4 linked regions of the Caenorhabditis elegans genome follow. The protein of the gene in region 1 interacts with the protein of each later gene in a pairwise test. Each region holds a gene or a part of one and is shown on either strand. Other genes may lie near its edges.

Evidence for each region.
Region 2: the proteins of copa-1 (region 1) and magu-2 interact in a two-hybrid assay, tested with the Caenorhabditis elegans proteins (one large-scale study listed by BioGRID).
Region 3: the proteins of copa-1 (region 1) and npp-4 interact in a two-hybrid assay, tested with the Caenorhabditis elegans proteins (one large-scale study listed by BioGRID).
Region 4: the proteins of copa-1 (region 1) and copb-2 interact in a two-hybrid assay, tested with the Caenorhabditis elegans proteins (one large-scale study listed by BioGRID).

The regions. Positions count from the first base shown.
Region 1 is NC_003279.8:2,894,840-2,902,863, forward strand, and holds copa-1 (Coatomer subunit alpha), read right to left. Parts: upstream 6,022-8,024; 5' UTR 5,963-6,021; coding exon 5,917-5,962; intron 5,865-5,916; coding exon 4,859-5,864; intron 4,013-4,858; coding exon 2,811-4,012; intron 2,283-2,810; coding exon 1,975-2,282; intron 1,922-1,974; coding exon 1,063-1,921; intron 1,001-1,062; coding exon 723-1,000; 3' UTR 490-722; downstream 1-489. Other genes in the region: gst-43 (maleylacetoacetate isomerase), read left to right, coding at 6,502-6,562, 6,604-6,668, 7,316-7,495, 7,542-7,622, 7,825-7,961, 8,015-8,024.
Region 2 is NC_003283.11:8,798,000-8,802,627, reverse strand, and holds the start of magu-2 (MAGUK p55 subfamily member 5), read left to right. Parts: upstream 1-1,599; 5' UTR 1,600-1,631; coding exon 1,632-1,806; intron 1,807-2,084; coding exon 2,085-2,194; intron 2,195-2,240; coding exon 2,241-2,325; intron 2,326-2,385; coding exon 2,386-2,473; intron 2,474-4,628.
Region 3 is NC_003279.8:14,700,603-14,708,358, reverse strand, and holds npp-4 (Nucleoporin p58/p45), read left to right. Parts: upstream 1-1,836; 5' UTR 1,837-1,838; coding exon 1,839-2,266; intron 2,267-2,309; coding exon 2,310-2,401; intron 2,402-3,222; coding exon 3,223-3,649; intron 3,650-4,901; coding exon 4,902-5,350; intron 5,351-6,828; coding exon 6,829-7,049; 3' UTR 7,050-7,237; downstream 7,238-7,756. Other genes in the region: dus-2 (DRBM domain-containing protein), read left to right, coding at 1-70; Y54E5A.5 (Polysaccharide biosynthesis domain-containing protein), read left to right, coding at 492-851, 1,092-1,193.
Region 4 is NC_003282.8:9,457,873-9,464,531, forward strand, and holds copb-2 (putative coatomer subunit beta'), read left to right. Parts: upstream 1-1,858; 5' UTR 1,859-1,864; coding exon 1,865-2,026; intron 2,027-2,095; coding exon 2,096-2,584; intron 2,585-2,629; coding exon 2,630-2,763; intron 2,764-2,812; coding exon 2,813-3,045; intron 3,046-3,157; coding exon 3,158-3,473; intron 3,474-3,520; coding exon 3,521-3,872; intron 3,873-3,927; coding exon 3,928-4,169; intron 4,170-4,216; coding exon 4,217-5,054; intron 5,055-5,126; coding exon 5,127-5,267; intron 5,268-5,339; coding exon 5,340-5,435; 3' UTR 5,436-6,148; downstream 6,149-6,659. Other genes in the region: F38E11.6 (Adenylate kinase), read right to left, coding at 6,442-6,471. UniProt on the Caenorhabditis elegans protein: The coatomer is a cytosolic protein complex that binds to dilysine motifs and reversibly associates with Golgi non-clathrin-coated vesicles, which further mediate biosynthetic protein transport from the ER, via the Golgi up to the trans Golgi network.

The sequences.
Region 1 (8,024 bases):
GATCAAAAATTAATACCTTAATTGTTCAGTTTATTCGTGATTTTTGGATTTTTCGGGTCTTTTCCACGTCAAAAATGATTCTAAAATTCAGATTTTATTATATATATTATTTTAAATCAATAAATTCCGATAAAACAATCAGTTTTCAAGGAAATATGTGGACAGACATCATTGGACCACTTAGAAATTGCGAAATTCACTGAAAATTATTGATTAATTCGAAATAACTGAATAATTAGGTATATGTTAACTGAATTCCATGGAAATTTGCAAGAAAAATGAGCCAAAACGCGATAAAATCCTGGCTTTTGCCTTTTTCCGGTGCCAAAATGGTTTGTGTGCATTTTGTCGTAGTCCGCAATACCAAAACCCTAGACTTTACGACAATTTTCTTACTGTATTTTTTTTGAATTTTTTCGAGCAAATTTCTCCATGTAAATTACTGATTTAGAGAACATTTTCTTACCCCAAAGATAAATGAAAAAAAGTAAAAAAATCATGATTTATTCAAATAAAATAGACCAGCATGCAATCATAATCTTTCTGTGGGGTTTAAATAATTTTTAAAAACACATAATTTAAATAGAAAACATGAACCGCCGCCCAACGGGAAAATAATATGAAGGGACCAAAAGCAATGGGAATTGTGGAAGAACAAGGCAAATAAATTACAATAATTAATATCACACAAAAAACGAAAAAATTATCATATTTCACAACTTTTAGCTCTTCAGAGTTGAGATTCGGAGCCCAAGAACATTCTTTCCAACTTCTGCAACCTGGCACACGTTGCACACTTCTCCCTCGAGCCCTTCAGAGTACGATGCTCCACAATACGGGCATTTACAGAGTGGACGTCCACGGTAAAGAGGCACAAATTGACGAGAGCACACGACGAATGGATTATGCTCATCATAGGTCAACTGATGCGCGTCAGTGTTATCCTTCTCGGCGGCAGTCAGCACTTTTCGGATTTGAGCAGCAACTTCTGGTTTTGGAGCTGGAAAAAAAAATTAAGAATTAGAAATAAAATTTAAAAAAATCAACAACGCAAGCACGTACCGAGCTCCAATAGACGTTTGCAAAGTGATGCACAAGTCTTCATTTGCTTCATTTTGAAGAAAGTATTGATAGCAGATCTCAGTGTCAGGATACGATGCATTGGTTGAAGCTCAAAGTGTGTAAAGTAGGCAGCTAGTTCGGCGTTGCGTTTCGCATCCTCCAAATTCGTTTTTGGCAAATCTTTTCGATAAGTTTCAAGGAGAAGTGCTGCAAGATATTCCCGTGTGATTGTGATGAGCTGCTCCGCTTCGGCGACTTCTTGTTTCGAAGACACAACGATCAGTGGAACAGATAGAAGAATCTCCCGCAGTTTCTCGACAGCATCTCCAAACTTTCCATTCGTCGTCATTTGATAAGCCTTTTGCAGTTTCTTTGCAAGTTGAGAAAGTTTGAACGCAGCGACTGGAAGATGATTCTTATCCTCCTGGAAATTACGAACCGGATGAATGGACACTGGTCCAGCTGGTCCGAGTCCTCCCCATCCACGATGTGAGAGTCTAGAAGCTGCATAAGCCTTCACGAATACATCCTTGAATGGTGCTGCTTCAACGACTCCAATTGTATCATGAAGAAGCTTGATGGCAGTTCCGAATGAACCAGCTGCAACATGATCAGCAGCAAGACGAGAAACATTCGGCCATTCCGATGAGACAGCTGGAGCTGGGTTAGGAACCACTTCCTCATCATCATCTCCACCTTGATCATCGGTAACATCAGGAAGAGCCAGATCATCATCCACATCCCATCCACCTTCCTCATCTCCATCAACTGGTCCTTCTCCTTCATCAACATCAAGTTCACCATCTTCTCCGACAAGATACTCATCATCTCCCCATGCTTCATTTCCAACATCACCATCCTGCAAAAATTAATATTTTATAGCTCAGATAGCTCAGAAATCAATAAACTAACATCATCATCCATAACAGCAAAGGCAGCAGCAGCAGGCTTCACACCGCCAACATTAGTTGGAGCAGATTGTCCTCCTAATCCAAGAAGCTGTGCATCGAAAGTTCCTCGAGCCGAGGCAAGAAGTGGCCAATTCTCTTCTAAACGAGCAACTGGTGGTGGTGGGACAAGGAGGCGAGCATTTGGATCAACTGGTGGGATTGGTTGCTGACGACTCTCGAGTTCAGCCTTCAACTCCTCAGCTTCAGCAGAATATCCATGAGTGGCTGCGGCGAGGTAGGCCAGAGAAGTTTGTCCACAGTTTCGGAGCACTGAAAAATTAACTTTATACTTTATTTTGTTGAAAATGACCCAAAAAGTAACGAATTTCGTCATGAAAAATCCTGAAAAGTTTCTGAAAACTCACAAAAAAAGTTATGGCGGTTTTGAGATTTGGAAAAAAACCTATTTTCAGCTAAAATCTCAAATTTTGCCAACTTTAGTGTGTCATTGATTATTACTTTTTAATACATATTTTGGTCGTCTATCACACTTTTATTCGTTAAAACGACCAAAATACGTATTAAATAGCGATAATTGAATAAAAATCAAGTTCCGTCAGCTGCGAAACTGAAAAGTTGGCAAAATATGAGATTTTAGCTGAAAATTGGTAGATTTCCAAATTTTTTTTTGAGAAATCTCATGACGATATTCGGTAGATTTGGACCATTTTTAGGTTCAATAATTTCAAAATCGTCTAGAATTTGCAGAAATTCACGAAAAAAATACGCAAAGAGGAGCTAAAAATCAATAAAACTTTGACTTTTGCCCCCTTCTGAAATCCAGCTGCACATTTTTACCTTTAACTCTCTCCTCAACATCACCAGTGTAGAGAGCTGTCTGGAAATGTCCGTGAGCATCATTTCTAGCCTGTGCAATCTTCATCATCTTGACAAGCTTATCCGTATTTCCAGTAACAAAATACAAAAACGAGAGCTTCTCAAAGTTTTTCGTTCGTTGATAGCTCATCTCAACAATTTGATGATTGCCTTGAAGAAGAGCAGTCTCTCCGAGAGCCTCCCAGACTGCTGGCTCGTCGAGCTTCTTGGCGGCTTCCAACGCGATTTCCAGGTTTCCACATTCAATTGCCAACCCGAAGCGAGTCTTCTCATCCTTGACAAAGTGAAGAGCAATCTCTGGGTAACCCTTTTTCTCGAGATATCCAATGATGGATTGACCGACGAGATTTGCGGATCGAACCATGTTGACAACTTCATCGATTCGTTTGTTAATCAAAGCAAGCTTAAACTTGTAATCAGAATTATCAATTGGAACTTCAACTGGTGTAGCGTCACGATTCAAGCAGTAGAGCACGTTTCCTCGAATAGCCAGAATGTACAGAGGAAGATCCAGAGTACGAACGATTCCACAATCTCCAGAATTGATTGCATATTTGATGTGATTGCTAGTGGTGTAGAGGAATACCGAGTCATCATCCCAAGCTCCACTCTTCACACGAGTCGACTCCTGTTGGGTACACAGAATCTCCAATTTACGGTTGACCAAGGTCAGCGTGTGCTTTGAAAGAAGAGCTGCGAATTCCATAGACTTGCTCCAAATCACATAACGAACTTTCGACACTTTCACTGAAGCAGTCACAATCTTTTGCTGAACATCAAACAGTTGAAGCCCATCATCATTTCTCAAAAGGAGCATTCCAGTTCCGGCATAGAAAATATCGTCGACAGCCGTGTTGATATTCTCGAGTTTGCGAAGTTCCTTGTTCGTCAAATCACGCAACGACACATTCTGAGCCTTGTCAAGAACTGCAAAACGATTACGAGCAACCCAAAGTGCATTGATTCCGGTGCTCTTGACGCACGCAGCTTCAGTGGTTCCATCAGAGTTACTGGCAACTTTGTACAGCTCAAAGGCGCATAGATCCTTATTGTGAGTACGGCTTGTGAGAAGGAAGGTTCCCTCGGCAGGATTGAAGGAAAGAGAGTAGTATGGTTGCATGAATGGTTGTGGGTAACGGAGCTTGCACAGAGCAACATCCTTGCTGAAAATTTGATTTTAGAGGGGTTTTTGCTTGTACATCCCCTCTGAATGTACAAAAAATAACGAATTTTGTAGTGAGAGTCCTCAAAATTTCCGGAGAAAAGCTCTAAATTTAGCTAAGATCTCCAACTTCGTACTGAAAATAACAGATTTTTTAGATTTATCAAATTTTTAGCTTTAAAAATTTTTTTCCTGCATTTTACGAACAAACCTTCTGTTAAACAGTGAAAATCGAATTTAAAATGACTAAAATTAACTTTTTTCGTCCACTGGTTGTGAAATGGGTTGAAATTGAAGAAATCAACGGGATTTTTCTCATTTTCTAAATATTCTCCTATTAAAAATCGGTTTTAGTAAAAAAAAATGGTTTAAAACCGATTTCTAATAGAAAAATATTCAGAAAATCAGAAAAATCCCGTTGATTTCTTCAATTTCAACCCATTTCACAACCAGTGGACGGAAAAAGTTAATTTTAGTCATTTTAAATTCGATTTTCATTGTTTAACAAAAGATTTGTTCGTAAAAAGCAGAAAACATTTTTTGAAAAGCTAAAAATTTGATAAATCTCAAAAAAAACTCTGCTATTTTCAGTGGAAGTTGGAGAATTTAGCTATTGAAATTACGCCTTTTTTCCGATTTTTTGGAGGCTCTAAATACGAAATTCGCTTAATGGGGCACATTTAAAGTTTTTCATTTAAAAACTACTGAGACTCCACAAAAACATGATTCAGTGCGCCGGAAAATGCATTTTCGCAACTCTCGCACGCTTTTTTTCGCAAAAAAAAAACGCTAATTCTGTGCAAAAATGCATTTTGCGGCACACTTTTCTTGGCATCAAACTACTCACTTGGTTGTCAAATCGAGCTTGCGAATTTGTTGTCCCTTCACATAGAAAACCAAATTATCACTGACACAATAAGCCGGGCGTTCTCTTTGAATTTTAAAAACGACCATTCCATTGTCATGTCCTGCGGCGAACATGTTCAAGCTTGGATGGGCGGCCAAAACCCAGAAACGCTCATTTTCATGTCGGAAAACGTGAAGACTGGTACGCTTCTGCATATCCCACACACGAATCGACTTATCCTCCGAGTTGGAAAGAATCAAGTCAGCATTTGGATGGAAGATCACAGATGAGACGTTATTGTAGTGTCCACGGCACGAGTCGAGCTCCCAGGCTTTCGTCTCATTGTAACGCCAAATCTTGACTTGACGATCATCGGATCCCGAGACTAGAATTGGATTGGTATGATGGAATGCAACCCAGTTGACTCCACGATCGTGTCCCTCTAGCACATGCTTCACAACTGCATCAGGTTGCCCGAATAGCTCAGCTTGTTGCCCTCCGGTTGGCCGGCTTGGAGCACCTCCACCAGGCATTTGCTTCTTCCGAAGTCCAGAAATATCCCAAACACGGACGGTCTGATCCAAGGAGGCAGAAGCCACAAGATCTTCGGTTGGGTGGAATTGAGCACACATGACGTAGTGATTGTGTCCGGTGAGGATGGCGATCGAGTTTCGGCTCTGCCAATTCCAAATCCGAACCGTTTGATCGTCGGACGCAGAAATGATCCATGGATACTTATGATGGAAGAAAGTGGTACGAATATAATCCAAATGTCCGAGAAGTGTGAAAATACAGCGTTTCTGCTTGTAATTCCACACTTTAATCTTATAATCATCTCCTCCAGACACAAAGATCGGCTGATCATGATGGAAGCAAATTCCTCTCACTGGACCATCGTGCTCGTCGAACTTCTCGAGAAGAACGCACATTCGGTAGTCCCAGAGTTGAATGACTCCACTGTGCAGCGATGTGAGCACCCATGGCCGAGTTGGGTGGAACGAAATTCCTGGAAAATTGGGAAATTATTGAAAAATAATGCCAAAAACCAAAATATTTACCTTTAACCCTAGCGGATTTTGATTCAAATTTGATAAGGAGCGACATGATATCCGATTTATAGTCGGTAACCAGTCAAAAACTGCTCCTCGGCGTGAATGAAGGTTCTGAAATTATGGAAATGACACGTGGATATATAAGAATGTTTAAAAAAAACAGACAAAAATGCAAAAAATCAATGAAAAAACTTGGAATTTCGATTAAATTGATAAAGAAACTACGAAAAATACCATAAAAATTAAGAATTTCAGAGATAAAAATCGGTAAATCCACGTTAAAAGAGACAGAAAATGGAGAAAAGAGGACAACGTGGAAACCTGCGCATCAAACGGAATGTGTGCAAACACGGCGACGCGAAACTGCACAGTTTAGGAAAAATGACCGTTAAAGGGGAATTTTAAGTGGGAATTGACATAAAAAAGTGCTGAAAATTGAGGAAAATGGAGGTTTTATTCGGAGAAAGTAGTTTTTAACTGAAAAATTAGGGTTTTTGAAGATTTTTCCCACGTGTTCATATTTAATTTCTTCTCAAAATGTCATTTATTGCTTAAATATTTCAATTTTCTTCTTTAGAAGCTTCTAACTCCATGGCAAAACCGATTTTATATTCATATTGGCGTTCGTCGTGTGCCTGGAGAGTTCGCATCGGTAATTTTAGCTTGGAAATTCTATAAAATACTGATTTATAGCACTTGCTCTGAAAAATATCGACTACGAATACCGGCCAATCGACTTATTTTCTGAAGAATCCAAGGTTAGAAAATTTCCGGCAAATTGGAAAATTGCCGGAATTGAAAATTTCCGGCAAAATTCGCCAGAGCGGCAAATTGCCGGGATTGAAAATTTTCGGCAAATCGGCAAAGTGCCGAAATTTAAATTTCCGGCAAAATTCGGCCTAGCGGCAAATTGCCGATTTGCCGGAAAAAACCACAATTTGTCGAAAACTTTTGGCAACGGTAAATCGGCAATTTGCCCAAAATTACAATTTCCGGCAAATCGAAAATTTAATGAAAATCAAAATTTTCGGGCAAATTGGAAAATTGCCGGAATTGAAAATTTTCGGCAAATTCGGCATATTGCCTGAATTGAAATTTCCAGCAAATTGCTAGAATTGAAAATTTCCGGTAAATTGGAAAATTGCCGGAATTGAAAATTTCTGGCAAAATTCGGCAGAACGGCAAATCGCTGATTTGCCGGAAAAACACAATTTGCCGAAAACTTTCGGCAACTTGTGGTTTTGCACATTTTTTTCTGGAAATTTCAGAATTTCAATTTTAATCGGTAAAATTCGGCAAACGGTAAATCGGTAAATTGCCGGAATTGAAAATTTCCGGCAAACCGGCAATTTGCCATCCACCCCTGCCCTACTCCCACTTCCATAGAAATATAGCTGTATTTCAGAACAATGCAGAGTTCGTCAAGCACAACCCAGCGAAAAAAGTTCCAACTTTAGTGATAAATGGCTTATCACTGACAGAAAGCTTGGCAATAATCGAATATTTGGATGAAGCCTATCCGGATCCTCCGTTCCTTCCAAAAGAATTGGATAAGAGATCGTATTCAAGAGCTATCGCACTTCATGTGAGCTTTTAACATTCTTTAACAACTCTAAGCGAGCTCTTTTCAGATAGTCGCAAGTATTCAGCCACTTCAAGCAATCAATATCCACAAAATGCTCAATGAAAAGGAGCCGGGATACGGTGACTTTGTGGGTTCTCACGTGGTGTCAGAGTGTCCCATGTCGGGTTGATCTACCTAGATCTACAAAAAATGCGGGAGAAGAGACGCAGACTTCTAGAACGTGCTGCTGACGTCACATTTTATCGGTGAAAAAAATTTCCGCATTTTTTGTAGATCAAACCGCAATAGGTTCCAAGAGGCGTTTCCCGATAGTTCAAAATGTATTTCAGTGGTGCAATCACTTTGTGAACAAGGGATTCTTAGCTCTCGAAGAACTTTTGAAGAAGCATTCTGGGAAATATTGTGTTGGAGATCAGCTTACAATTGCTGATATCAACTTGCCATCGATAATTTATAATGCGAAAATGTAGGTTATTTCAAAATTTTGAATTTTTAAATTAAAAATTTTGAAATTTCCAGCTACAAAGTC
Region 2 (4,628 bases), on another chromosome or scaffold:
CGACATGTTGAAGATAGATGAGCTGATCAATGAAATCAGCACTAATCAGCTGGCTATTCTCTATCTTATAGCTTGTTCTTTCTATGCGGCCTGCGTCTCTTCAAATCCCTGCGGGTCGAATGTCACAATTCACCATCTCCTTTTCTCTTTCTTGCTCCATGTGCTTCTTTCTGTCCCCAGACTGGACCTTCTTGTGCTCTCCCACCCACACCGCCATCTTCCTTTCTCTCTTTGCCCCATCCTCGACTATCTGTATCTTCTTCGTTCTCACTTTTTATACTCGAGACTCTGTGGAAAAAGACACAGAAGACACACCAATGGCGTCAAAAATCTTTTTTTTTAGTTTCCCTCTGCCGGACACGATGCACATAGTTTCGGTGCGATTCTCTCAAGAGGATCCCCCATAATTATTTGTCACTCTAAATCTCAAGCTCTCTCATCCAGTTTTCATTCCCAATCTATCCATCTCCCTGTCACACTGAACTAGTGGAATGAATGTCAATATCATCAATCTGGACCACTGTTTTCATCTGTCTCGTTCAATTTTTTATCCCCGGGAAAAGCTATTATTTAGTGCTTCATTCCGTGTGTCTTGAGCTCATGGATACTTTGAAGACCTCATCTTTTTTGATTGAACAAACGTGACAAGACAATTTTATGAATTCTTAGAGAGTGTGTGTAATTTTAATTGCTTGCAGCATGCTTGACAGCTGCACTTACTGTTTTCCTTGAAATACGCAAACTTTCACTGATATGCCTAATTTTAGAAGTGTATTTTTGAAATTCAAAGGAAAAACTTAAAATTTACTTTCAAAATCTTTAAAGTAGCTGTTTTTATCAATCTAGAAAATGTCACTACAGATAAAAATATTGTATTGATATGTGGAGTCTTTTAATTGTGCTTTTCGTGAGTCAATAATTAAGATTGCATTTTTAATTTGGCAACAATTTAGAAATTTGTTATCTGGCAAATATGTTCTATGATACCGTAACTTTCTCAGATAACTTTAAGATTATTTTTTTGTCCATAACCTCTGTTCTCAACTTTAAGACATACAGTACCCCTTATACACAGCTCCCTTTTTTTGTTATTTTGAATTTTCTCTTCAACTATTCCCATTTTTGTCGGTCTTTTTCCAATTTACCCCAAAAAGTCCATCTCATCAAAAGCGCTTCAAGTCTTTTAGTTCTTATCCCCCATTCCTCTTTAAGCTCTTGAAACACAAAAAACAATTGCAGAAGAAAAGAAAAAAAGCAATTAACTAAGAAAGTGCACTCATCACAACTCTTCTTCTCGGTTCTTTTTCTGTCTCAATTATTCACGCAACAACGCTTACATGAAGTAGCAGTTTTTCGAGTGATTCTGACATTTCTATTCATTTGTTTCAAGTTTATGATTATTTTTAGATCCAAGTTTTGAGCAGATCCCGGAATCCTAGCATTCATCATTCAAAATGAAAACCACGAGATTTCAAAACAACTTTTTTCATTTCACCTACTCATAAATTCCATTCCGATTCAGTTATTGCTTTATTTTCAGAAATTTGGATTCTCATTTTCTTATTTTCGCTTTCGTTGGAAATAATATTCCCAAAAAATTTTCAGCCTTCATCTAGTGGCTCGAGTATCAAATGTCCAAGTCGGTGTCGATACCACAGGCACTGTCCGACTTGAAAAGGACATCCTTGAGACGGTTGAGCAGTGCACGTGGTGTTGGAAATAAGAAGACCGTTGTGAGCACTTCGACGCCGTTGAGTGGTTTTGTAATTTTGGTTGAACGAGAAGAGAAGGTTGTTCGGCTGTACGGTAAGTAAAAGATAATTTTATTTGACTAATTTATAAAAACATTTTGAAGTATTTTTATTGAAATAATTTGCAATTTTGATGAATTTTTACTGAAATTTTGTCAACGAACATTTGTACTAATGCGATTCTCCAAATCGTTGATGGCATCGGCAAAGTGGGCGTTTTTTTAACCTATATCGCAATTTTTTTCGCTTTTTTCAAGGTGTCTGGAAATCAGATATAAAGTGCTTTACAAATTTTATGCAGACTTCTGAAAAAATAATCGATTTCCATTACAGGAACTGCTGCGGAAAGAGCAGGATTGAGCATTGGAGATGAAATCGTTGGGGTAAATGACATGAAAATAGAAGGAAAAAGTTATGAGGAAGTCACAACTTATATTCAAGAAGTTTGATAAAATTTATGATACTTTCTTGCAAAATTTCAAATTTCAGTGTATTCGTCGAAAAATCATTCAGCTGAAAGTTAGACGTCGTGCATTAGAAATTCCAGCAGAAAATGAAGCTTCTGTTTTTAACTGTGAGTAAAAAAAAGTTTATACTTTTTCCTTTTTAATACTTAGTTTTTGTTTAATTTCAGGCACAAATTCGAATCGTATGATAACGGATGCATATCTAGTTTCCGTGGATAAGGATCATATCAAGGAAGTTACTAAACGGCTGAAAAAGTGAGTAATCTTTTTTTGAGAGAGATTTTCTTCTCTGCGATACTATCTGTGAGAAGCGGAACGTGTAAAGAACGGAAAGAAGAGTTCTTAAGTGCTCTCTATTTATGGTATATGCATAAACAGTGAATATATGACAAATAGTGCAAATACCACTAAGATTTGGTTTTTGGCAAATCAATGTTCTTGAAAAGTTCTCATATTTATTTCATTTCACTTAAAAAATTCATCTCTCTTCATTTTCTTTAAAATCTTTGTTGTTCACTCGTCGACCTGCTTTCTAGAAATTAATTAATGGCCTCGAAACTTTCTGACGGGCAGGGAAACACAAAAACACTGAGATTATGAATGTGAGCTAATTTGGAATTCTCGTTCGTCCAGTCTTCACAACTATATAGGTCACATTCTAGTATTTCACACAGTTAGTCGGCACGTCTAGTATGTCACAAACCAATAATCTGTCAAGGTGAAGACAAAAAATGGAGAAAAAAAAAGAGAAAAAACGGAGAGTTCCGTCGTCAAATATATCAATAAATCTAGTGATTAATCAGTCAACCTGGCGATTCTTTTTTATGTCTCCCTGATATTCTATTTCACAGTCAGTGGCATTTTCAAGTAATAGAACCTCCCATTGCGCTTATCACACTCATTCTCTCTTTCTCATTCCTTTTTTCTTATTCTTTCATCAACTTTTTAAATGTTTCTGTCTCATTACACTATTTATCAAAAAACTATCATCACTCAAATTCTGTGTTCTCTTCGTTTCGAAGGTTGTCTGACTTGTGATAATTGCAGGTTGTTAGGGTTTCAGAACGTTACAGTTCTTTATTACAATTTACTACGCTTTTGAGATTTTTTGTATGTTCACAGTTAGCTAAACTCTTGCCTAGCTTTGGAATAACATGTTACTTTCAATTTATTGATTCTTGTATGTTTTGAAAAGCAATGACTTTTAGCACCCTTTTAGCACGACTGAAACTATCAGAAAAAGATTTTATACAGCTGCAGCTAAAATTTCAACACACTTTTTCAAAGGAAATGTTCTGCAAAACTTTAATTCAATCGTCAAAAATTGAATAAGGAGCAACGACTGCCGTTCTCTCAAATTACAAAGAGTCACAGAATTTTATTTTCGGGGGAATACCTTTCCAAAAATGGGTGAAAGGTCATAACGAATACATCAAACTCCAACACATTAGACACACATTGTTATTTATTGACATAAACCATTTATTGCTTTCCATTCGTCTCCTCACTTTTCCTTGTCGACAATTGTCAATTGCACCGTTCTTTCCAAACCCAAAAATTTAACAAATAATTATTGAATCCGTTTACACTTTCTTTTTTTCCATTCAACCCTAACCGTTCCTCTTTTTGTCATCATTGTGCAAATTTCATGCATCATAAATTTTTGAGGACGGTACGGTTTTTGTGTAGTTGTGGATCGGTTAACTGTTTGGTGATGGACACAGTTATCGCGACTTTAACAAAATTTTGCTTTTATATTTGTTATCAAGTGGCAAATTATTTTAAGTTATCATTATCAGTGGAGCAGAAGATATTTTATTACTTTTCTAATGTTTCGAAAATTTCAAGGAGTATAGGAATAATTTGCAATTTTTGGAAATATATTGGGTTCGAATTCTAGAAATTAGTCTGTATAATTTAAATATTGTTGATTCAAAAATTATTTTTTCAGCTACTATATGTAATATTCATTTTTAGAACCTTTCATTTTCTTAGTGTTTTGCTACTTTCCCGATATGTCTCATCATTGCTTAAAAATATTTATACATCATAGCCACCACCTTCTAAATCGTGGTTTTCATAAATATGTATTTGTATACATCTTTTCCCCAATAGGAAGGGATGCGCAAACGGGACCTCAAATGTAAAGCTGGTGATGAGCAAACATAAAAGTAGAAGAAGCGCGCACGAAAGATGATGAAGATGCAATACGGACTGTGTGTGAACAACTACAATACCGTCTATTGTTTCGACCCTCACTCACTCTCACCTTCCTCTTTTCCCTCAACCTGCACCACTTTGTATACAATTGTCATGAAGAGAGTCAGGCTGAATGGGGAATTATTCTAGGACTAGATTTGGTTGATGTTGGGTGACCAGCATGGTTTTCCACATTTTCATCTTCATAATG
Region 3 (7,756 bases), about 12 Mb from region 1:
CGCCGCGCTCGCAGCCTTACATGGAATGAATATTCGGAATCTTTTGGTTGGAAATTGGGAAGAAGAATGATGTTAAATTTGTTTTTTGCTATTTTTTTGTTAAATTATATTGAAAAATTGTTTGTTTTTGCTATAATTTGCATTTAAAATCGGTTTTATTCCATTAATTATCGAATCCCCACTGCGCGCGCGGGGATGGCAAAACGCCGTGCGGCAGTTGCAAATGGGCGGAGTTTGGAGAATTTAAAAAATATTCGAATTTATTTCGCAATTTTTAGAGATTTTCAGGCTTTTTTCAGAGTTTTCATGCGTAATTTTCACTTTAAAATGTTATTTAAGTGTGTAGGATTATAGAAATGTAATTTAATTCCGCAAATTTTGTTGAAAAACTTGGATTTTTGCAATTTTTGCAGATTTTTACATGATTTTCTTCTAATTCTCCTGTTTCAAGTCAATTTTCTCTCTAATTTTCCAAATTTTCAGGTAACAAAATGACTGACTACGGAGATGCTGATAAATACGTCAACGACGAATCGATCGAGATGGCTTGGGCGATCAAAGCCGGCGAACGGTCCGAAGTTCACATGAATCTGATAATGCGGTGTGACACTCGGGTTCTTCGGCTCAACAAGCATCAGGATGCGATTCTCGCCGCATTTCGAAGCTCATTCCCCGATTTGAATGTGGAGGAGGTGACGACGAGTTTGCTGAAAGACGGCGGAGCCAAGGAGACATGGCGCGAGTTTTGTGAGCAATTCAAGGATATCGTCGACGATTATTCAATGGGAACACTGATGAGAATTCATGCTTCGAAGGCTTACAGTCCGGAAAATACTGTGGTTGTTCCAAGAGTTAGTGGGACCCAAATTGGAAATTTTTGTGATTTTCAGCATGATTTGTAGCTAGAAATTGCAGTTTTTGCGTTTTTAGCCCAGTTTTTAGCTAGAAAACTCAGATTTTGTGATTTTCGGCATGATTTGTTGCTGGAAATTGCAGTTTTTAGCTTAAATTTTTGGGAAAACTTCAATTTCCAGCCAAAAACCCCTCATCCCTCATTTTCCCATACAAAATCGATCGATAATTAATTACAGATCATCTACCTGGCAATCGAGATGGCACGCAACGTGGAGGGTGTCAACGAGAAGAATAAGGAGGCATACACGGCTCACCGCAATTCGCTCGCCTCCTTGTAATAATTTCTCTCGTTTTTTTTTTTGAATTTTTGTTGATTTTTCCCCGTTTTCTCGTTTTCCACCCTGTCGTTTGTCTTGTAGTTTGCATATAAACCGATTTCTTCGTTTTTAAAAATGATTTATTTCCAATTTCTCGAGTTTTCCAGCTCTTTTTACTTATATTTTTGTTTATTTTTTTTCCAAAAATTGATTTTCAGATATTTTTCTCTAAGAAATGTCGATTTTGATGAATTTTTCTGTGCTAAAATTGACTTTTCAAAATTTTCTCATAGACACGTGGGATAAATGCCCTAAAACTCAATTTTAGCCTGAATAATTCGTGATTTTTGATAATTTTTCATCGGAAATCGAATGTTGGATGCTAAAAACGTTTCTTTGGCAATTTTCGAATCCCCACCGTTTTTTCTCCATTAAAATCTGGATAAGCATCTCAAAATTCATGAAAAATCACTTTTTCTGTTAAAAAGTGTTTTCTGTGATTTCTGAGCGAAATTGTCAAAAAAAAAAAGTGATTTTCGCTTCGAAAATTCGAATTCCCGAAGGAAAAACCATCAAAAACCTCTGTTTTTGAATAGAAAATGTCTAAAAATCAATAATTTCCCAATTTCTTTTCTTTCTTCTCCATAAAAATTTAATTTTCCAGAAATGTCGCTTTTCGGTACAAGTACCACGGCTCCAGCTGCTTCAACAACACCTCTTTTTGGCTCAACGGCTGCTGCTGCTCCAAAGCCTGGAGGCCTCTTCGGTGCGCCTGCTGCTGCCATGTCATCAGGGCTCTTTGGAGCATCTCAGACAGCTCCTGCACCAGCTTCTGCAGGACTTTTCGGCTCAACAACTGCTCCTACACCTGCTTCAACGTCTTCAGTTCCACTATTCGGTTCGACAACAACCACCGCATCACCATCTGGAGGACTTTTCGGAGCCAAGACAGCCACCACAGCAGCTCCCGCGCCGACTGGTGGGCTCTTTGGAGCATCAACGGCTGCTCCGGCGACTGGAAGTCTGTTCGGAAGTACTGCCCCGGCTACTGGAGGTCTTTTTGGCGCGAAATCGACCACATCGGCGGCTCCGACGTTGGTTTTAGAGCTTTCGATGCATCTAAAATTGAATTTTCAGGCTTGGAGGTGGACTTTTTGGATCGAGCACGGCTCCGGCGGCGGCGGCAACGACATCATTTGGAGCTCCACCAGCGACTGCAGCTGCTCCATGTTAGTATAGATGCTGGAGCTTCTTTTTTCTCTGTTTTCAGCACAAAAATTCCATTTTTTGCGAATTTTCAGCTCTAAAATGCTTTTTTAAATAGAAAATTGCCACTTTCAACTCCTTATTTGGAAATCCTATTTTTCGCCGAATTTCGACAAAATTTTAGTTATCAAAACTAGCGTTTTTAATCTGAAAATCGGACATTTTCAGCTCAAAAGTGTGTTTTTAATCGAATATAGTACGATTTTTATGTTCAACAACGCTAATTTTATAGAAAATTGGAAAATTTTCTAACAATACATCAAAAATCCTTATTTTCCTCCTATTTTTCAGCCAAAAATGCGTGAAAAATAAGCAATATCCATTTAAAAGCTTTATTTTGTCGATTTTTCTTCAAAAATTGGCGTTTTCCGGCAATTTGGCTATTTGCCGGTTTACCGATTTGCCGGAAAAAAATAAAATTCTAAAATTTCCAACATTAATGTGCAAAACCGCAATTTGCAGGAAGTTTTCGGCAATTGCCGCTTTTCCGGAAGATTCGGCAATTTGTCGGTTTGCCCATTTGCCAGAAATTTTCAATTTCGGCAATTTGTCGGTTTGCCGGAAATTTTCAATTCCGGCAAATTCGGCAATTTGCCGGAATTTTTCAATTTCGTCAAATTTGCCGGCTTGCCGATTTGCCGGAATTTTTCAATACCGGCAACTTGTCAATTTGTCGGTTTTCCCATTTTCCAGAAATTTTCAATTCCGGCAATTTGCCAATTTGCCGGAAAAAATCGTTTGCCGCCTTGAGATTGCGCAGCCTGAAAATCATTTTGTTTTTCAGTGGGTCTCGGCGGAATCCAGCAACAAAACAGCAGTGGTGGTGGGCTTCCAAATGCTTCAGGAACTGCCACGTCATCACTCACAGGCACCGGAGACTCAAAAGATGCCTCGAAAGACGGTGAATGGACACAAGCGGCCACTCTAATCAGAGATTTACTCCCATTGATCGAGGATAAATTCAAGAAAAATCGAGAATTTATGGAAGAAACCGAGAATATGTCAATTGACAACGTGGCAATCGAAGAACAAATCGATAAGACACGTGGATGGATTGAGGAAGTTCGACGGGATGTTCTGACGGCTACACAATCATCAGAAAGGATTGCATATCTTGTATCAACTGATAAAACACTTTGTGATACGACGAAACGAGTTCAAGAGCATTCTGGATCTGCAAATCAGACTACTTATATGAATGCTATCAAAGAGTTCGTTTTTGAGCTATTTTAACGCTTGAACGTCTTGAAATGACTTGAAAATCTAGAAAATTGGACAAAATTTAACAAATCCGTCTTTTTCATGAAAAAAAAACCCCAAAACCACCCCTGGCAGTTCAAAATATCGAAAAAGAGCTGAAATTAGCTGAAAAATCCGATTTTATAAGCTTGTAGTGACTGAAAATTGATTTTTCGCCAAGTTTTGCATATTTTCGTCGTAATTCACATTAAAAAAACGTTAATTCTTGATACTTTACTTTTTTAGACCCAAAATGACTCAAAACTGCCGAAGAATTTCGTTATGAAAATGTCTCAAAAAAGTTATGACCGCTCAAAGTTTTGGAAAAATGGTCAATTGTTAGCTAAAATCTCAAAATTTGGCAAATTTTCTGTGTTGCAGCGATTGGAACTTAATTTTTATTCGATTATCATACTTTAATGCATGTTTTAGCAAGTTGTTACGTGTTATTTCGTTGATTGAGATACTTTATCATATTTGTGCCGGCATCGACCGAAAAAGCATCTCAATCAACGAAATAACACGTAATAAATTGCGAAAACTTCCATTAAAGGATACAAATCGAATGAAAATTAAGTCACAACCGCTTCAACACTGAAAATTTGCCAAAATTTGAGATTTTAGCTAAAAATTGACCATTTTTTTCCAAAATTTTAAGCCGCCGCATTTTTTTTGAGAAATTTTTGAGAATTACGACTAAAATATGCAAAAGGGGGGATAAAAACTAATTTTCAGCCACTACAAGCTTGTAAAATTGGATTTTTCAGCTTTTTTTGGACCTTTTTGAGTATATTTTCTTGAGAAGGATGGATTTGTTAAATTTGGCTCATTTTTCTAGATTTTCGAGCGTCTCATAACAAAATTCGGTAGTTTTAGGCCATTTTTGATCTAAAATAAGACAGTATCGGATTTCGGCACTCCACCAGGGCTGGGACCAAAAACAAAAAACCAAAAAATTGATGATTAAGTTTATTTTTAATGTGGTTATTCTAGTAATGTTGAAAAATGTATCAAAATACATTTTTGACGTCACAACTGTTAAAATACATGTTTTTATGTATTTTAATACAGAATATTCTCGAAGCGAGAGACATTTTTTTTTTTGGATTTTTTGGTTTTGTGGCCCCAAAAAATGGATTTTTCGTCAAAATACCAGAAAAATCCAGAAAAGTTCCAGCCGCCCTGCACCACTCCACCTGTTTTTTAATTCCAACTATTTTGCAGACACCTCGCCGAGCTGTGCAATTTCTATGGAAATGATATGGACGCACTTCAAGAGAGAGTGAATTTCCTGAGAAATCGATTCGAGAAGCTTCTAACCGGTGAAAAATCGATAACAATGGAGGAGCTGGATGCATATTTTTTGAGATGTGATGCAAATGTTTCGAATGCACATCATCATGTCACTGAGCTCGGAAAAGAAATTGAAGAAATTCGAGATTTTCTAATTGAACAAGGATATACTCAATTGAGAAAATGGTCGACTACAGCTGCTTCAGCAGCAGCACCAATAGCTTCGAATTCTGAAATGATTGTTAGAGAAGGAGCCGAGTTCTTCCCATCACAATCTAGTCTGGCAATCATTGGAAGCTCGTTGAGAGCACCGGCTGCTCCGGCTCCAGCTGTTGGAGGGCTTGGATTGGGCACTGGAACCAGTCTTTTTGGAAATACTGGTGTGTAGAATTGAAGGAAAAAAAAAATTGTTTTTTTTTGGCTTTCTTGAAATCTATAAATTCAAGAAAAAGTTTCTTGAGCATTTTTTAAATGCAAAATTTGATGAAAAATTGGTTTTTTTAACATTTTTTGACGAGAAATCAAATTTGTAACTTGCAGTTGTTACAACCAAGGGTGTCGGTTTTTCGATTTTCCCTGAAAAAATCGAAAAAAATTTTCGATTTTTGAAATAAGCTTACAAAACAGCATCTCTACAACAAATCTTTTTTTTTTATCAATTTTCTTTGAAAATTACAAGAACCCAAAAAAATGCGTCAAAACTGCTTTAAAATCGTAGAAATTGCAAAAATTCCAAAGAAACTTTCTTTTTGTTACAAATTCGAGTTTTTTTCACTAAAATTTTTTCTAGTTTTCTCTAAAAAACCGATTTTTTTGAAATTTCATCGGATAAGCATAGATGTCAGTTTTTTTTTCAAAATTTTTGTTGTTGTAACCAAGGGTGTCATTTTTCGATTTTTTCGATTTTTCGATTTTTCGATTTTCACTGAAAAAATCGAAAAAATCGAAAAATCACACCCTTGGTTACAACAACAAAAATTTTGAAAAAAAAACTGACATCTATGCTTATCCGATGAAATTTCAAAAAAATCGGTTTTTTAGAGAAAACTAGAAAAAATTTTAGTGAAAAAAACTCGAATTTGTAACAAAAAGAAAGTTTCTTTGGAATTTTTGCAATTTCTACGATTTTAAAGCAGTTTTGACGCATTTTTTTGGTTCTTGTAATTTTCAAAGAAAATTGACCAAAAAAAAAAAAAAAAAGATTTTTTCCAGTCTTCCGGCAAAAAAGGTTTTTCTTGCATTTTTGACGGAACAATTTTTTAAAAAAATTATTTTTTTTTTGTGAAAATGGTTTAAATTTTCACGAAAAATCCAAAAAAATAAAGCCTATTTTGTAGTTTTCAGAAAAAAGTATTTGTTTTCTGCAATTTCTGCAAAAAATTTTTTATTTTTTTAAAGAGTTTTTCGGTATTTTCTGAAGCGGTAAAATAATTTACGAAAAATCCAAAATTGATTATTCGATGTTTTCTAAATGAATTATAGTGGATTTTTTGTCGAAATTGCAAAAAAAAATCTCAATTTTTCCGACAAAAAATTCAACTAATGAAATGAAAACTCTAAGCGTTCAAAGTTAAAAAATTTTGTTTTTTTTTTCGTTAAGTTTCTCGCCAAAATTCAACAATTTTTCATCGAAATTGTGAATTACCAAAAAAAAACAGTTTTTTGTCAAAATTACAACAATAGTAGAAATTTTTTTAATTTTTCCGCGAAATTGCAAGAAGGAACAAAAAATATAGATTTTTCTCAAAATAATGAGAAAAATCGATATTTCCGAACCAAAAAAGGATTATCGTCAAAATTGGCAATAAAGTCCAAAAAATCTATGATTTTTAAAATCTAAACCTTCAATTTCTCTCAGGAACAACTTCTCTTTTCGGATCAACGGCCACAAAACCAGCTTTCTCTGGAGGATCTCTATTCGGTGCAACAACTTCTACTGCAACATCCTCAGCTGCTGCCACCACCACAACTCCGACTACATCACTCTTCGGATCAACCAAACCAGCCACCACAACTACACCATTTGCATCGACTGTTGCTAATAATTCCAGTGGTCTTTTGTTCAGTTCAAAGAAATAATTATTTATTTTTTTATTTCATGATGACTGGTTTTATTATTTAATTTGTGAAATATTTATTTTTTCTGATCTTTCTTTCGATTCCTCACGCTTTTCCTGTTCTTACCCTATTCTTACATTAAGCTTATTCGATTTTAATTTTACATTGTCTCTACACAGCAAATTTTCCCATGAAATCTGATTTTTTGTAAAATTTTTGAATTTTTCATCAAAAATTAAGGTACTATAAGGGTATTGAAGGATTACTGTACGGGTACTGTAGGGATACTGTAGAATTATTGTAGTTTGGGAAATTTGAATTTTTAGCTTTAGTAGAGGTATTTTGTTGGGAGTTGGTGGGGATGATGTTAAGGTACTGTAAGGGTACTGTGGGCTTACTTTAGTTGTTTTGTATGATTACTGCAGGCTAAAAATTGACCTTTTTCAGAATATAGTAGTTTTGAACATTTTCAGGAAAATTATTTTTTTGCCCAAAATAAAAAAAAAGGACAGTCATTAGAAAATTTGGGCAAAAATAAAAAGTTGTCTAAATTTGTTGAAAACGGGTAATTCATACATGCAAAATTCAGAAAATCTAGGTTTAGTCCGTCAAAAACTATTAAAAAGTGGCAAAAATGGCCAATTTATGGCAAAAATTCACAATTTTGAAACTTCACTAAAACGGGCAATTTTGTAGTTAGAGGACTCAAAATTGATTTAGGATCACTA
Region 4 (6,659 bases), on another chromosome or scaffold:
GTTTGCAGCTCTATAACTTCACGTGTGGAGGGAGTTATTACATCAATGTGTACAAGTTTTGTTCTCCATAAAATACTGACCAGATTAACGTTTTGAATTTTCAAAATATCCCCATCCGCATTGCTGCAGGCCTTCAGAACTTTTGAGATCACGATCTTTATGGCACGCAAGTCGGCATTCTGCGGGATTTCTACATTTTTCTCGAGGAATCCATCAAGTATCTTACAAGTTTTTATAGTTCAAAGAATGCTCTTGGTCTGGAGATTCTTTAAAAACAAAAATCCAAAAAATTTCTATCGTGGTATTTCTGTACGGACTGTGGCAGTAGTTTAGGTCTTGAATGACACAGTCGCCAGAAAGATGGATGTGAGCGGCGGCACCAGTATTCATTTTAGTACTTTTTGGCACGGTTTGACCTGAATTTTCAGAATTTTTAGAAAAAAATTAGCTCTGCTGATTTTGTGGGTCGTTACGCCTTGTGAAACCAAAAAAACTGAGTAAATTTCGGAAAGTTTAATTCATGAAATATTCAAAGGTTCTTGCTAGGCGCCAGTGTCGACACAGAAAATTTTTATATGCTACAAAAACAATCAAAAACGCTTCTTCATTTCTTTAACTTTCAATTTAACATAAAAATCATACATCTGAAAATTATTGGCGTGCGTGGGAGGTGCGTTTGTGTGGGAAGTGCCGCGTGCCAAAATGCCGTTTTAAAAAGGGTTCGCCAAATTGCCGAGGTGATTAAAATCGCACCTTATTGGGAAACATTACAAATTTTGGGTCAAATTGAAGGAAATTTATTCAGCTATCAGTATTCGATAGAAAAATGTACGTATGACGTGGCAGTCGCGCGAAAATCTCATGTAAAAGAGCGCTTCATGTGTTACCATACTTTTGGCCCACCCTGTATGAACATGGGTTCGTACCATGGAACCACAACGAAAATGACCAAAAGTTCCATATTTTTGAAGTCCCACAGAAAGCTATTTATTTTCTACCAGTTGTTGCATTACGTTTTGATTATTTGTATTTGAGCATTGTGTTGTCAATATTATAAGAATCATACCATTTCCACACACACACACACACACATTTTACATAAATAATTAGCTAAATTTATGTAAATTCTCTTGATAATTTACAAAAAGAACGAGCAAAATCGGTTATTCTTATTATTCCTGACTCGTATCGAGTACTCTTTCTACTATAATATTGCTCTTGGTTTGGACATTGTGGAGAACACAACAATAAGCAAGAAGATTGCCATAATCAGGTAAAACTAAGGCTGCAAAGGGGGCCTCTTCGATTTTAAGATATAACTGAGTTTTTTGAAAAATCTAAAACGTTTAAGGTTGTCCAGAGCAAAATTTGCATAAACATTCAACAACTTCACTATCAGTTTCAAAAAAAGTTGATTTTTCTCGTAATTTTTTTTCATTCATTTTACAACATTTCCTGAATGCAATTTTATTTATAAAATCTGCCACGAAGCAGCCACCGTTCGTAAGAGACACCTCACAAATGTGAGAAACGCAGACAAAAAAGTCAAAGGCACGCCGACTTTCCCGCTGTGGTCTCGATACGATCGGGGCTTTCTGAGTTGGCGATGGATGCGCCTCTACCTTTTGAGTGTTCTATCGTTTCGCCAACGTATCTTTTGATGAATTTTAAGATTTTCTTCTAAAAAAGATTAATTTCGGTTGATTTAAACATCTGAATTCTAAAAATCCAGAATATTATCGATTTTTGAATGTTCTTTCGGTTTTATTTTATTTCTATAAGCTGACTATTTGCAAATCTTCCTCTTCGTGCTCAGCTTAATTTTACATTGAGTTTATTTATTTTAGCTTTTTTTCAGAACAAGATGCCTCTCCGACTTGATGTAAAAAGAAAGCTTCTGGCTCGTTCGGACCGCGTGAAATGTGTCGACTTGCATCCAGTCGAAACATGGCTTCTAGCTGCTCTTTACAATGGAAATGTTCACATCTGGAATTACGAAACACAAACGCTTGTAAAGTCATTTGAAGTAAGCTTTTTTTCAAATTTATGTGCAAACTTCATGAAATTACGAAATAACTGAATCTAAATTTTGCAGGTGTGTGACGTACCAGTTCGTGCAGCGAAGTTCGTTCCAAGAAAGAGCTGGGTTGTCACGGGATCTGACGATATGCATATTAGAGTTTTCAACTACAACACATTGGAACGAGTTCATCAATTCGAAGCACATTCTGATTATCTCCGATCGCTCGTTGTTCATCCAACACTTCCCTACGTCATTTCATCATCCGACGACATGCTTGTTAAAATGTGGGATTGGGATAACAAATGGGCAATGAAACAGTCATTCGAAGGGCATACTCATTATGTCATGCAGATTGCCATCAATCCAAAAGATAATAACACTTTTGCAACTGCTTCTCTTGACAAAACTGTCAAAGTATGGCAGTTCGGATCGAATGTTCCGAATTTCACTTTGGAAGGACACGAGAAAGGAGTCAACTGTGTCGATTACTATCATGGTGGAGAGAAACCATACATTATTTCTGGAGCTGATGACCATCTGGTCAAGATTTGGGATTACCAAGTAAGTTTTTTTTCTCTTTGCATTCATCCAAAATGATATTTTCAGAATAAAACGTGTGTGCAAACGCTCGATGGACATGCGCAAAATGTGTCTTCAGTTTGTTTCCACCCAGAACTGCCATTGATAATCACAGGATCCGAAGACTCCACTGTTAGATTGTGGCATGCAAACACCTACAGGCAAGAACATTAAAGTACGATTTCCACAACAACAATTTAAAATTTTTAGACTGGAAACAACCTTGAATTATGGGTTGGAACGTGTTTGGTGCATCCAAGCTCAAAAAGGAGCCAACACTATTGCCATCGGATACGACGAAGGTTCCGTCACGTTGAAATTAGGCCGAGAAGAACCAGCAGTCAGTATGGATTCGTCTGGAAAGATTTTGTGGGCAAAGCACTCCGAAATTCAGCAAGCTAACCTGAAGACAATCTCAACTGAAGAGTCGGAAGCCATTCAAGGTTTGGAAAACTTTCATTCGACTTTTGTATAGTTCGGCACATGTTTTCTGAAAGTATTAAAAAAAGAGAAATTGTGTTCATTTATTATCACTCTAAGACAGTTCATTTACAGATGGAGAACGTCTGCCGCTTTCTGTAAAAGATCTCGGATCTTCTGAAATCTATCCACAAACCCTTGCTCATTCATCTAATGGACGTTTTGTTGTCGCTTGTGGTGACGGAGAATACATTGTTTATACTGCAATGGCTCTCAGAAACAAGGATTTCGGACAAGGACTCGAGTTTGTCTGGGCTGTTGATCCAAATATGTTTGCTGTCCGTGAATCTGCCACCAATGTGAAGATAAAGAAGAACTTCAAGGATCACAAGTCAATTCGTTCAGATATGGTACTTGAGGGAATTTCTGGTGGACCACTTCTTGCCTTGAGGTTTTTGAACTCTTATCAATTGACTTTTATTTAATTTTTTGTTTCAGATCGAACAACTCTTTGTGCTTCTTTGATTGGGAATCAGCCGTTCTTGTTCGTCGTATCGAAATTACTTCCAAGAGCATCTATTGGAGTGACAACGGAGAGATGGTCGCAATTTGTGGAGATGATTCATTCTACGTTCTCAAGTACAGTGCTGAAGCAGTTGCCAATGCAACAGAAGTGACCGAAGACGGTATTGAAGACGCGTTTGAGGTTATTGGAGAACAGGCAGAAGCTGTGAAGACGGGATTCTGGATCGGGGACTGCTTTATTTTCACCACTGCACTCAATAGAATCAACTATTATGTCGGTGGAGAAATTGTCACTATTGCTCATGTTGATAGACCACTTTATTTGGTGAGATTTTAAAACATGCGTTGTTCTTATCATTTTTAAAACTTAAATATTTTAGTTGGGATACATGGCTAAGGAATCTCGAGTCTATGCCGTCGATAAGGATCTCAACGTGATCTCATACAAACTTCTTCTATCTGTTCTTGAATATCAAACTGCTGTAATGCGCCGTGACTTCGATACTGCTGACAAGGTACTTACTACAATTCCAAAAGAGCAGAGAACTCGTGTTGCTCATTTCCTCGAAAAGCAAGGATTCAAGAAGCAGGCTCTTGCGGTCTCTCAAGACCCTGATCACAAGTAAGACAATTTTCAGCTTTTCAGCAATAATTTTGGAACGTTTTCAGATTCGATCTCTCGGTAGCTCTTGGAGATTTGAAGACTGCCTACGATTTGGCACTGCAAAGCGATTCAGAAGAGAAATGGAAGGCTCTCAGCAACGCCGCCACTCTTAAGTCGGAACTTCTTCTTGCTGGTGAATGTCTTGGAAGAGCTCGCGATTTCGGAGGTCTAATGCTTCTTGCAACGTGTGCCGGATCAGCTCCTCTTCTTCAGAAACTTGCGGATGACTCTGCTGCTGCCGAAAGCCACAATATCAGCTTCCTCAGTAGTTTGCTTCTTGGAGATATTGATGCTTGTCTAGACAAACTTATTTCGACTGGTCGCCTCCCAGAAGCAGCGTTCCTTGCTCGAACACATGCGCCGTCTCGAGTTTCATCTATTCTTGAATTGTGGAAAGCCAAGGCTTCGGGACACAGCGAAAAGAGTAGCAGAAAGATTGGAGAATCTCTTGCCGATCCAGTGAAGTATGAAAACTTGTTCCCTGGATTTACCCAATCACTGAAAGCAGAATCTTTCGTTCGTGAGATCTCCAAGATTCCAGTCCCAGCATCCGTTCGAGTGCCATCAGCTGCTACCCGGAATATTCAAGAGGAATTGGATGAAGCTGTTGCTTCGGGAGCAGTTTCTTTTACTGATGATGGCCAAGCAGTACTTAAGAATGCCCCAAGACAAACCGAGACACAATTGAAAGCTCCACCTCCTCCATCAGTTGCACGTCAACCCTCGCCTGTACGCCAGCCATCCCCTATTCGTGAGCCATCACCGATCCGCGAACCTGAACCTGAAGAAGAGGAAGAACAGGAAGAATTCGATGATGATCAGCAAGAGGTGCATGTTCCAGCTGTACGTTTTGAACAGTTTTTTATTCATATGGAATTTGACTATTCGTTGCTAGAATCACCAATTTATTTTCAGAATCAAGAAAGTGCCGATGCTCATGGAACATCTAAAACTCCTGATGTTGTTCTTGAGACAAGCCGGCCTGATATTGTCCCACCACGGGGGTCCGCCGCTCCAGATTTGGTTTCCGCGTCTTCACAACAATCTGCTCAAGATGTAAGTATTTATTTATAAATGTTTTGAAAATTATATAAACTGCGAAAATTCAATCAATTAATCCAATTACAGTTCCAAGATGATACGCAATGGTCAGATGAAGATTTTGGAGATGCTGAAAATGGAGACCTGAATATGGACGATCTAAATTTAGACGAGGAAGATTGACTGGTAGTCGATCGATCTGCCCAACAAGATCAGAAAGACTGAGTATCAGTGTTATTTTTTTGTGTATGTAATTTAAGCCCCCCCCCCCCCCCCTCCCGTCCTATCAATGTCCCCATTCCATCCGTAATTTCATGCACAATTTTTTGACGAATGATTCAGAGCAGATCGATCGATAGATAATTATTTTATTTTTCATGTTTCACCCCAAAAAGAGGTTTTTTTCTAACCCATCTGGTGTCGGTCACTCTCTAACATTCTTTGGGAAATTGTTAATTAGTATTATGGGAATGTGATAATGTTTTTCTTATCAAATAATTATGTAATTTATAGTGTTTTTGGCGCACTCGTCTTTTTTTGTGATTTTTATTTCTACTGGTCACTCCTGTCGTAAGCTCCCTTTGCCAACTATCCACCCAATTCATCCCTCCCCGTTTTCATATTTCTGCCTTCAAAATCACATAACTTATTGAATTTTTATGTTTATCGCCCTTTCTGATTTATAAGTAAACACTAAGTTATTTCCAGCTTTTTTGTGCGGTGTTTTTTGTATTCTAGGGGTTTTCTTCGAAGTTTTGTTCTATGGCTTTTTCCACTTCTACTATCATCCTCCCCAAAACTTTCGTGTTAACGAAAAAATGATGTAATGAGAGTTTTATTGATTGAAATGATTTTTTTTTCTTTTAACCGTGTTTGAATAAACGGAACAGAAAGTGTATGTGTGGCTGATCAGGAACAATTTGTAGATATTTATGTCTACACAAGTGATAATCAAAAGGCACTTCAAAAAAGGAGCAAAATGATAAGAGGCGTCGAGCCGATTTCAATACGGAAAAAGCGTATTCGGCGACAATCCGATACGATTTTTGGCACGGAATCCCATTTGACGAGGTTGAGCCGAAACTGAACGAGCTTCTCTTTCCATTGGTGGCTCTTCAGTATGTCTTGAAATTCGTTCGGAAGATTCGCTTCGCCGCTTGTTTAATGTTTCCGACTCGACGCCACCCCGTCAACTGTCTCGTGGTTGGCTTTGTTCTTTCTGAAATGATCATGATACTATAACAATATGATATAACATGTCGAAATTTTGTGAGATTTCTTTAAATAACCTAGTTTTTCAGTTCTCATAAATGTTTATTTTTGAATCTACACATTTCACATTTCCTTGATTTTTTACGATCCATCACTCATACGAAAACATGTGATTAATTTTGTCCCGCTTTCTCA